2 linked regions of the Arabidopsis thaliana genome follow. The protein of the gene in region 2 interacts with the protein of the main gene of each other region in a pairwise test. Each region holds a gene or a part of one and is shown on either strand. Other genes may lie near its edges.

Region 1 (3,838 bases), on a different chromosome or scaffold from region 2:
TCTACAACGAATCTCCTAGAAGTCAATGTATACACGTCAACATCATTTGCATCAGATTTAATGGATAGAACGAAACAATATAATTAGAGATCATGCTTAAATATCTATAAGAAAGCGAATCCTATGAATGACACTATTTGCAAAACTTAGGCTTCAAGTCATAAATCCACTTAAAATAACAACAAATAGTAAGAGGAAACTGCGTCAACAAGATTAAAAAGTGGAAGGTAATTAACCGAACAAGCCAATGATTATTTGACACGTACAAGTGAATGAGAGAGGAGCGTCACGATAATGATTGTGGACTAAAGTGACAGTCGTCATTATGACAGACCGCGTGGCATCATTTATCTCACCAAATGTCCTTTTTCATTATTTTCCTGATCAAATTAATCACAAGTGGAGCACCCTAATTAACACGTTGATATGACGAACCGGACACATTAACACTTGCCATTACGTTTTAGATTTGATTCCTTCAGCTTCTTTAAGTTTTAGTTCAGCAATTATTTGATCGATTTGGATATATATTGAACCTATGATGATAATTTAGTAGTAGTGTAATGTAATTTTTTAGAAAATAATGTATGAAATTCATCAGTTTCATTTTTGGATAAATTCCGGTTTAACAAGTATGGTTTGGTACCAATTAATTAATTGATTAAAAGTTTCAAATTCAATAAAAATAATACATGTGGCTGATTATCGAATTTGATTCATAAATAGAGGAATATTTAAAAACGATTATTGAATAGAGGAGATTGGTCACTTTAACTCCTCATAGTAGTAATAATTTTCTGATTTCACTGAATCCAAGTAAATGCCTAGAGGAACAACAACGACGATTCTTTCCAGCTGGAATATTAATCCGAAGCACGAGGCACTGTAACGGTCCAAAAATTCCAGCTGGATTGCATAACTACTCTTAAAGGCGCACTCTAACCTACTCCTACTTCACTCTACTGTTAACCTACGCCTCTGTCAGCGTACTCTAGCATGACAGTTATAATTTCATCGGCGGCGAGGTTTTATTCGATTTTATCTGCCTTTCGATCAGTTATAACAGAAACGCGACTCGCAATATTTTAATTGGAAGTAAACAAATCGACATGCGATGCGACGAATAAAAATTAAGATTGCGATTGCTAGAAGTCGGCGGTTTTCCGGTGAGAAGTCCGGCGACGGGGAAGTGATTTCGTCGTGAAGCTTTCCGTCTCTTGTAGGTTTCGTACACTACTACGGATGGATAGAGTATCGGCTCTGATAAATCCAGAAATTTCGTCGCCATTTTCGTCGGATGATTCTAGTGGAGATCAAAACAATCAAATCAGGAACTCAAATTCAATGTGTTACCAACAGAAATAAAATTCGAAATGGGAATCGAATCTGCAATGTACCTAGATGTTTCGAAGGACGCATGAATCCATTAAACTGAGCCAAATCTGAGAAAAATTCAAAATCGAAAAACCGATCAAAATCAATAAACACGAGAAGATCAATCAATCAATCAAAAACAGGTGGATCGTCGGATTTTGAATAGGAGAAGCCAACCTGATTGAGACGGAGCGTAAGAAGTGAGGTAAAGGATGATAAAGCAGATGAGAGTGAGAATCGGAATGAAGTGAACAAGCTTCTCTTGTTTCTGATTCGTCGTAACAAAAGGAGATTGCAACGATGATAACCGTCGCGGCTTAAAGTCTTTGAGCTCGTGATCGTCGTAATCTACTGCGGATGACGACGAAGAAGGAGAAGAGGAAGCTGGTTTCAAGTCATCAATATCGTAGGTATCGTCCTTTCGTCCTCCATAGCTATGGAGCTTCGAAGCTGATGAGTCTAACGATATCCTCTGCATCGCCGACAGAGAGAGAAAGATGAGGGAGGCTAGAGAAAGAAAACTTAGTGAAGGTTATGGTTCGTATCAAATAAATATTGGTGAGTATCCCATAAGTAAATAAAAAGTAAATATGCACACACATGAGTTTATCATATTTAAATAGGAAATAATTATTACGCGATTATTATATATCTCTGTCTAATAACGAGAGTTGTCGTATTCGCTACTCATTTACTTTGGAATCTAGTAAAAAAATTCACAAAAAAAGAGAGATGTATATAAATATTTAAAAGAAAGAGGTTGGGATCTATAGAGAGTGTAGAATAACTGTAACACCAACGGAATTGATTCGGATTAATCTGATTGCTGAAGTTTATTCTATTTTTAGAGCGAATATATATATAAATCTTATCGTTTCAAGCAAACAAATTATTATTGCTTCACACAAAAATAATAATTATTGCTAAAAAAAAAGAAAAAAAAACATTGCATACCAAAAATTATGATTGGTGAACAAAAACCTAAATTATCCATAAAAAGTTTGTCCGTCTCGTCTATATGGGCATATTTCAAGGCTACAAAAGCCCAGCCCATTAAAACATTTAAAATAAAATCTTGACGAACAAGTAAAATGGACGGTCAAGATTGTATCGCAGATCAAGCAACCTGGTGCTTTAAACTAGAAACGGAGGATCTGTGATTCCGATGGGAGTGAGATTGAAATTTCTGGCGGCTCTTTCAAAGGAAAATTGTAGATTGTATTCAAATACGTTGAGGAAGAAAGAAGGTGACAAAGAGGAAGACGAAGAAGAAAGTTGTAGAAAGTAATGGTGTTGTGGGAGTTAGCTCTAGGAACAGCTTACTTCTTGGGGATTAGGCGGACTTACCGGCTCGCATTGAAGACCCAGCGTCGGCTTGTTAGCCCTAAGCATCCAAGGATTCGAGATTTTATGCATCGGTGAAGTTTCTTTCATCTTTACGCTTTTCTTTTTGTGGATTTTGCGATTTGGTTGTTTCTGATTTAGGTTTGACTGGAAATACGTTTCTTTGTATATGAATTGGCCTCTTCAATTGATGAAACTGCTTTGTTATTGATGTATCGTTCTGATTGTTTATTGTGTTTAGGTTGATTTCGATTTTCTACTGTCCAGTTAGTTTTGTTCTGACTCCCGTATCGCTATAAAAATGTGATTTAAGCAATGCAATGCAATGCAAGTGGTTGGATTTAAGTAAAATCAAGAGGTAGGCTAGTCCTATTTCCACGGTTTTGATTCGTTGAACTTACTTATGTGATTTCGTAATTCTATACATTGCTCTTGAACCATTCGATGTGAGATTCAAGAGTAGAGTGACACGAAGCTATGATGCATTTATTCATAGAGGGAGAGATAGAACATCTGGTGTTTCCTGGATTGAAGTCTTATATTGTGCCCGTTTGGGATTTGTAAGTGTAGTTGTCGCTAGGAAATATATTTGTTGATGCTAAGGTCATACAGTCGTATAGATAATGCTACTGTTAAACGAGTCTTGAGTTGTGTATTTGAGATTTCCATTACCGACTGAGACGATTGGTGTGTTAACTTTCTCTCTCTTTCCTTCCTTTTATGCAGGAGGACTTATCAAATCTTTGATATGGCACTTAGGGTCCACAAGAACATACAACAGAGAGACATGGTTATTGGTCGGAATCTTGGAAACTGGATTCTCCGGGGGCTTGACCGGATGAAGCCATCGGCTCAGGTTCTACTACCAAAGAATACAGAGCCAAGCATAGACAAGGCGAAAAGAGTATTACAATCAACCCGTCTTAAACCACATGTTAACACGCAGACTCCTCAGAACCGTGAGGTTGATAGGAACTTGTTCATGTCCTTGAGGAACTTTCGGTCCAAATACCCCATTGCTTCGATGATGATGATCAAACCTCCAAGATCCACGGGAACTACTACTCAGTACAGGCCTTACAGTGTTGGTGAATCCAGTCTGATTAAACCAATTTATGCT
Region 2 (4,673 bases):
TTTCAGAAAGTAAAACGAATTAACGTCTTTGATTTTATTAAATTCCTATATATAAATGCTAGAACATAATAAAACACGTTATAAAAATATATATTCCATATTCAAATAACTTGAATTGACTTGTGATTCAATCATTCACGAGTTTATTTTATTTTATTTTTGGGGTTGAAAAATGATTGTTTTATTAGAAGTTAGAAGAGAGCAGAGTATTTAAAAACTATAAGACTATCTTCCCCTCCTAAAGAATGTTAATGTGATAATGGTTTGCACGTCGGCGACAAGCCAGAAACTATATTCCAATGCATAAAAGTAAATCGAAACTAAACTTTTGTCATTGTTGGTAAGCCGTCCACTTATTTATCGATTTATATTAAAAAGCTCTTTGGAAGCTACTATAAGAATCTTCCAATCAGAATTATCTCAGCATGCATAAGAAAACATATATCATTAGTAAGTTTTCTCTAAATATTTTAAAGATTTACAGTATGTTAACGTTTACAAGTTATAATAATGTCATGTCTTCTTAAAAAAATTTCATTTATAAAAATGCACAACATCATGAAAATTTGCGTTCACAATCTATAATTGTTTTTTTTTTTAATTATAATTTTTGAGTAAAAAACATTTGAATGTTGTCATTTTTTTTCACAAAAAGAAAGTAAAAAAGAAGATATAGAGACATTAAATGATTAAAATAAGCAAACAACAAAAAACAAGTTTTGTTTGGGCTAAGCAAAACGTAATTGGCCAAACCTTCATAGCTTGGAGTAATATTTTTTTTTTTGCTAAAAAAAATGTAAGCTTGGAGTAATATTTGTTATTAATAAGTTCAATAACCAAAATGGTATTTCAACCAGGAAACACACAAAAATGATTATCTCACCATCAAATCTAACATAGTCCAAATACATATTACATGATAAAGTGCGTATAAAATAGTTACAAAAAATCACTATTGATAAATTCTCATCTCCTAAATGCCCAAAAATTTCAGGTCCTAAGGATGAGTCTTGAACAGATGAAGAAACAAACATAGAGAAGCTATGTTGTCTCACTTGCTAATGTCTGAGAGTTCATCTAAATCTGCGTTTTGTCTCTCCATAAGCAACCACCCCAAGGACGGTTATGGAGTACCCGCCAATTCCCATAACCGTAACCGGGTTTTGAAAGATCAAGATAGAAATCACCACTGCAACTGCTCCTTTAGCATTTCCAAGAACCTGCACAATGCGTAACACAATCAACATTGCTAGTCTCGTTATCTCCAAGATGGAGCTCTCCTGTGAGAAAAGGAGAGGCAAATAGGTTTACCTGGAGGGTGAGGGCGCTTGTGTGTTTGGTAACCAGAAAATTCAACAGATTGGCTGAATAAGCCATGACAGAGTTAACCAGAAGAAGTATCCACATGTACTGATGTTGTTTTGCAAGCGTCAAGGTCACACTGATCACGTCTGGTTCCATAAATAGCGTAACGGGAAGAAGAGCAATGACAGCTATGGGAGACATATACAACATCAAATTCATTGAGTTCAATTTTTCCCTGCAGGAAGAACAAAAAAGTTACATAAAGATGCACTAGTGTTTGTGGAGATGAATATCTTTGGTAGTTAACAATCTAATTCTATGAATTAAAATCTTAACCTGATAAAGTGATATATTACAACATTCTACCTAACCAATCATTTATGAGATTTCTTGATTTGACAAAAGTTTCCTGATTTGCTCATCTAACTGCTAGCAGAATCTTAAATTCTATTAGGATAAGATCAAGGTCATATTCTGATATATTACTTACCCCTCTGAAGAAAGTAAGATGCCTTGAAGAACAGATTTAAAGGCTCTTGCCGCAGTAGCACTAATGCACATTATGAACCCAAACCAGTGAAATCCTGGCTCACCCTGCAATGTAAAACTGGTACTTAGATCAAGATCATACATACAAAAAATAGCAATAAGATCGTCTCTTCACAATGATACAAATTCAAAACACACAAAACAAGGATATGATATAACCACTTGACAAGCTTCAGAGAAGTACAAAAACAGTATAAAGATATCACCTTTACGGAGAAATAAGGAAGGTTAGATCCCAAAATGATGTTCTACCAAATTCTACACCTGATTAAACCATAAAAGGCTGAAGCTTTTTAGATAACAACAACACTCAAATTTGCCCTGATTTCAAAGTTTAGACCTTTGTCCAAGTTTAGGTCTTTCAACATTAACATCTATTTACGGATCAGTGATCTGAATCCAAATTGGATCTTTCCAAAAAAAAACATGAATTTCAAATCTAGGGAGGTCCAGGAAACCTAACATTCAACACTGACATTGTTAAGAGAATTGAGAACAGAACAAAAAGGCTTACCCCACTGGCGATGACGACACCGGCGACGACAGGGACGAGAGCACCATAAGTAACCCAAGCTTCTCTCTTAAAGGTCATAAGATAAGCAAACAGAGCCGTGAAAAACGGCGTCGTAGCACCGACGGCTTGATTGAAAGAGACAGGAAGGTAACGAAGGGAGATGTTACCACCGACGACGGAAGCACAAAAGACGATGCTGAGAGTAGCAACCTTAAGGAATTGAGAACGAGATTTGAGATGTTGGAGAGGAACAAGCTTGAGGAAAACAATGGAGATGTAGCTAAGGATAGCGCAAGCGGACATGTGACACATTGTGAGAAAAATCGGGAATTTGAATCCGTAATTCGAGAGAAGGAACTTGTTGAGGAGAAGAACACCGATGTTTGAAGAGTACCATGAGATGATTAATGTCGATATGAACAGGGTTTGTTTCTTCGCAGACGACGACATTGTTGTTATGTTTTCTGATCTGGGTTCTTCTTCTTCCTCGACGAGATCGAGATTTCGTTGAGAGAATGAGAGAGAGAGAGAGAGAAAGAGAAAACGAGAGAAATCAGGTCCTTACTTGGAGCATGGAACGGCAAGGACACAAAAAGCTTTTAGATGAACAAATAAAGTTAAGCCTTTGCTTTTATTAATTAATGTCTAACTAAGTAACCCTTGTATTTGTAACGTATTATTTGCTTGTTAATTAAATTAAGTAGATAATATCAAAATCGTTGCCTAAATAACGACGATATTATCAAATCGATATTTGTATTGTGAAACTATATGGATTTGGTTAAAAGATTTAGAGGTTATGGTGAAGAAAATTACATTCAAGTAAGAGTATATAATACTACTATTTTTTTATGTTTCATGAAATATGATAATTTTAATAAGATAAAATATATGAAGATAATTCTGTTGAGGCTATTTGAAATTAATTACAACACAAATCAAACGAACTAATACAATATATCAAACCGTTCGAAATTAGTGTCTTAAACCGAACTAAAACCCCCGCTAATTATAGTGTCGGTTAGATCTAATTCCAATGGCATTATTGTAAATAGTTTGAAATTAGAGAGAAATTTCCCAAGAGTGTCCTTGACAATCTGACACAAGCTTGAGGTCAACTAAATATCACATTCAAAGCTTTGATTTTTATTTTCTCTTTCGACGAAAATCTCAAAACTTTAAGATCCTTTATTTCTGATCTCTCTTCGAAGTTTCGGTTTTTGTTTTCTTAATTGTCAAGTCATTTCATCGATGTCAGGATATCCTCCGACTAGCCAAGGTTACGGTTACGGTTACGGCGGCGGTAATCAACCTCCACCACCTCAACCACCTTACTCTTCCGGCGGAAACAATCCTCCCTACGGATCATCAACAACCTCTTCTCCTTACGCTGTACCCTACGGCGCATCTAAACCACAATCATCATCCTCTTCTGCGCCGACGTACGGATCTTCATCATACGGAGCACCGCCTCCTTCAGCTCCGTACGCGCCTTCTCCAGGAGACTACAACAAGCCGCCAAAGGAGAAACCATACGGAGGAGGCTACGGAGCTCCACCACCGTCTGGATCTTCAGATTACGGAAGTTACGGTGCTGGACCTCGTCCGTCGCAGCCGTCTGGGCACGGTGGAGGATACGGAGCTACTCCACCGCATGGGGTTTCTGACTATGGAAGTTACGGTGGTGCTCCACCTCGTCCAGCGTCTTCTGGTCACGGTGGCGGATACGGAGGTTATCCTCCGCAAGCCTCTTATGGAAGTCCTTTTGCTTCTCTGATTCCGTCAGGTTTTGCTCCGGGGACAGATCCGAATATAGTGGCTTGCTTTCAGGCTGCAGATCAAGATGGTAGTGGCTTTATTGATGATAAGGAGCTTCAAGGAGCTCTCTCTTCTTATCAACAGAGATTCAGTATGAGAACTGTTCATCTTCTTATGTATCTATTCACCAATAGCAATGCTATGAAAATCGGTGAGTTTTCTGATTGATTTGACCCAAATTTGCTTTAGATTCAACAAGGATTGTTAGTTTCTGAAGTTTTTTATCTCTATGATTCTTGTTCAGTATCGTTATTATCTGTCTAAGATGCAAAACTCAAAAGATTCATACTTTGGGTCATATCGTCAGGGTTTTTCTATTACCATGTTGGCAAAATTAACAATATTTGTGGACTTCTCCTTTAATTACGTGCAAAAGAGTATCCCACTGTCTCTATGATCTTGTTGAATCATTTGGTTTCATTATTTTAGTTCTAGTTGAAGTCATAAATAATCATTTAGTTCTGGTTTTGAATTGGTGTTCTTTACT

Evidence for each region.
Region 1: the proteins of AT5G04160 (region 2) and AT2G35470 interact in a two-hybrid assay, tested with the Arabidopsis thaliana proteins (one large-scale study listed by BioGRID).

The regions. Positions count from the first base shown.
Region 1 is NC_003071.7:14,907,869-14,911,706, forward strand, and holds AT2G35470 (ribosome maturation factor), read right to left. Parts: upstream 1,996-3,838; 5' UTR 1,853-1,995; coding exon 1,552-1,852; intron 1,443-1,551; coding exon 1,398-1,442; intron 1,304-1,397; coding exon 1,146-1,303; 3' UTR 619-1,145; downstream 1-618. Other genes in the region: AT2G35480 (envelope glycoprotein), read left to right, coding at 2,662-2,792, 3,445-3,838.
Region 2 is NC_003076.8:1,141,960-1,146,632, forward strand, and holds AT5G04160 (Nucleotide-sugar transporter family protein), read right to left. Parts: upstream 3,050-4,673; 5' UTR 2,819-3,049; coding exon 2,369-2,818; intron 1,900-2,368; coding exon 1,796-1,899; intron 1,541-1,795; coding exon 1,312-1,540; intron 1,221-1,311; coding exon 1,074-1,220; 3' UTR 776-1,073; downstream 1-775. Other genes in the region: AT5G04170 (Calcium-binding EF-hand family protein), read left to right, coding at 3,620-4,337. UniProt on the Arabidopsis thaliana protein: UDP-glucuronic acid transporter that modulates the polysaccharide composition of seed mucilage. Transports UDP-glucuronic acid (UDP-GlcA) and UDP-galacturonic acid (UDP-GalA) in vitro.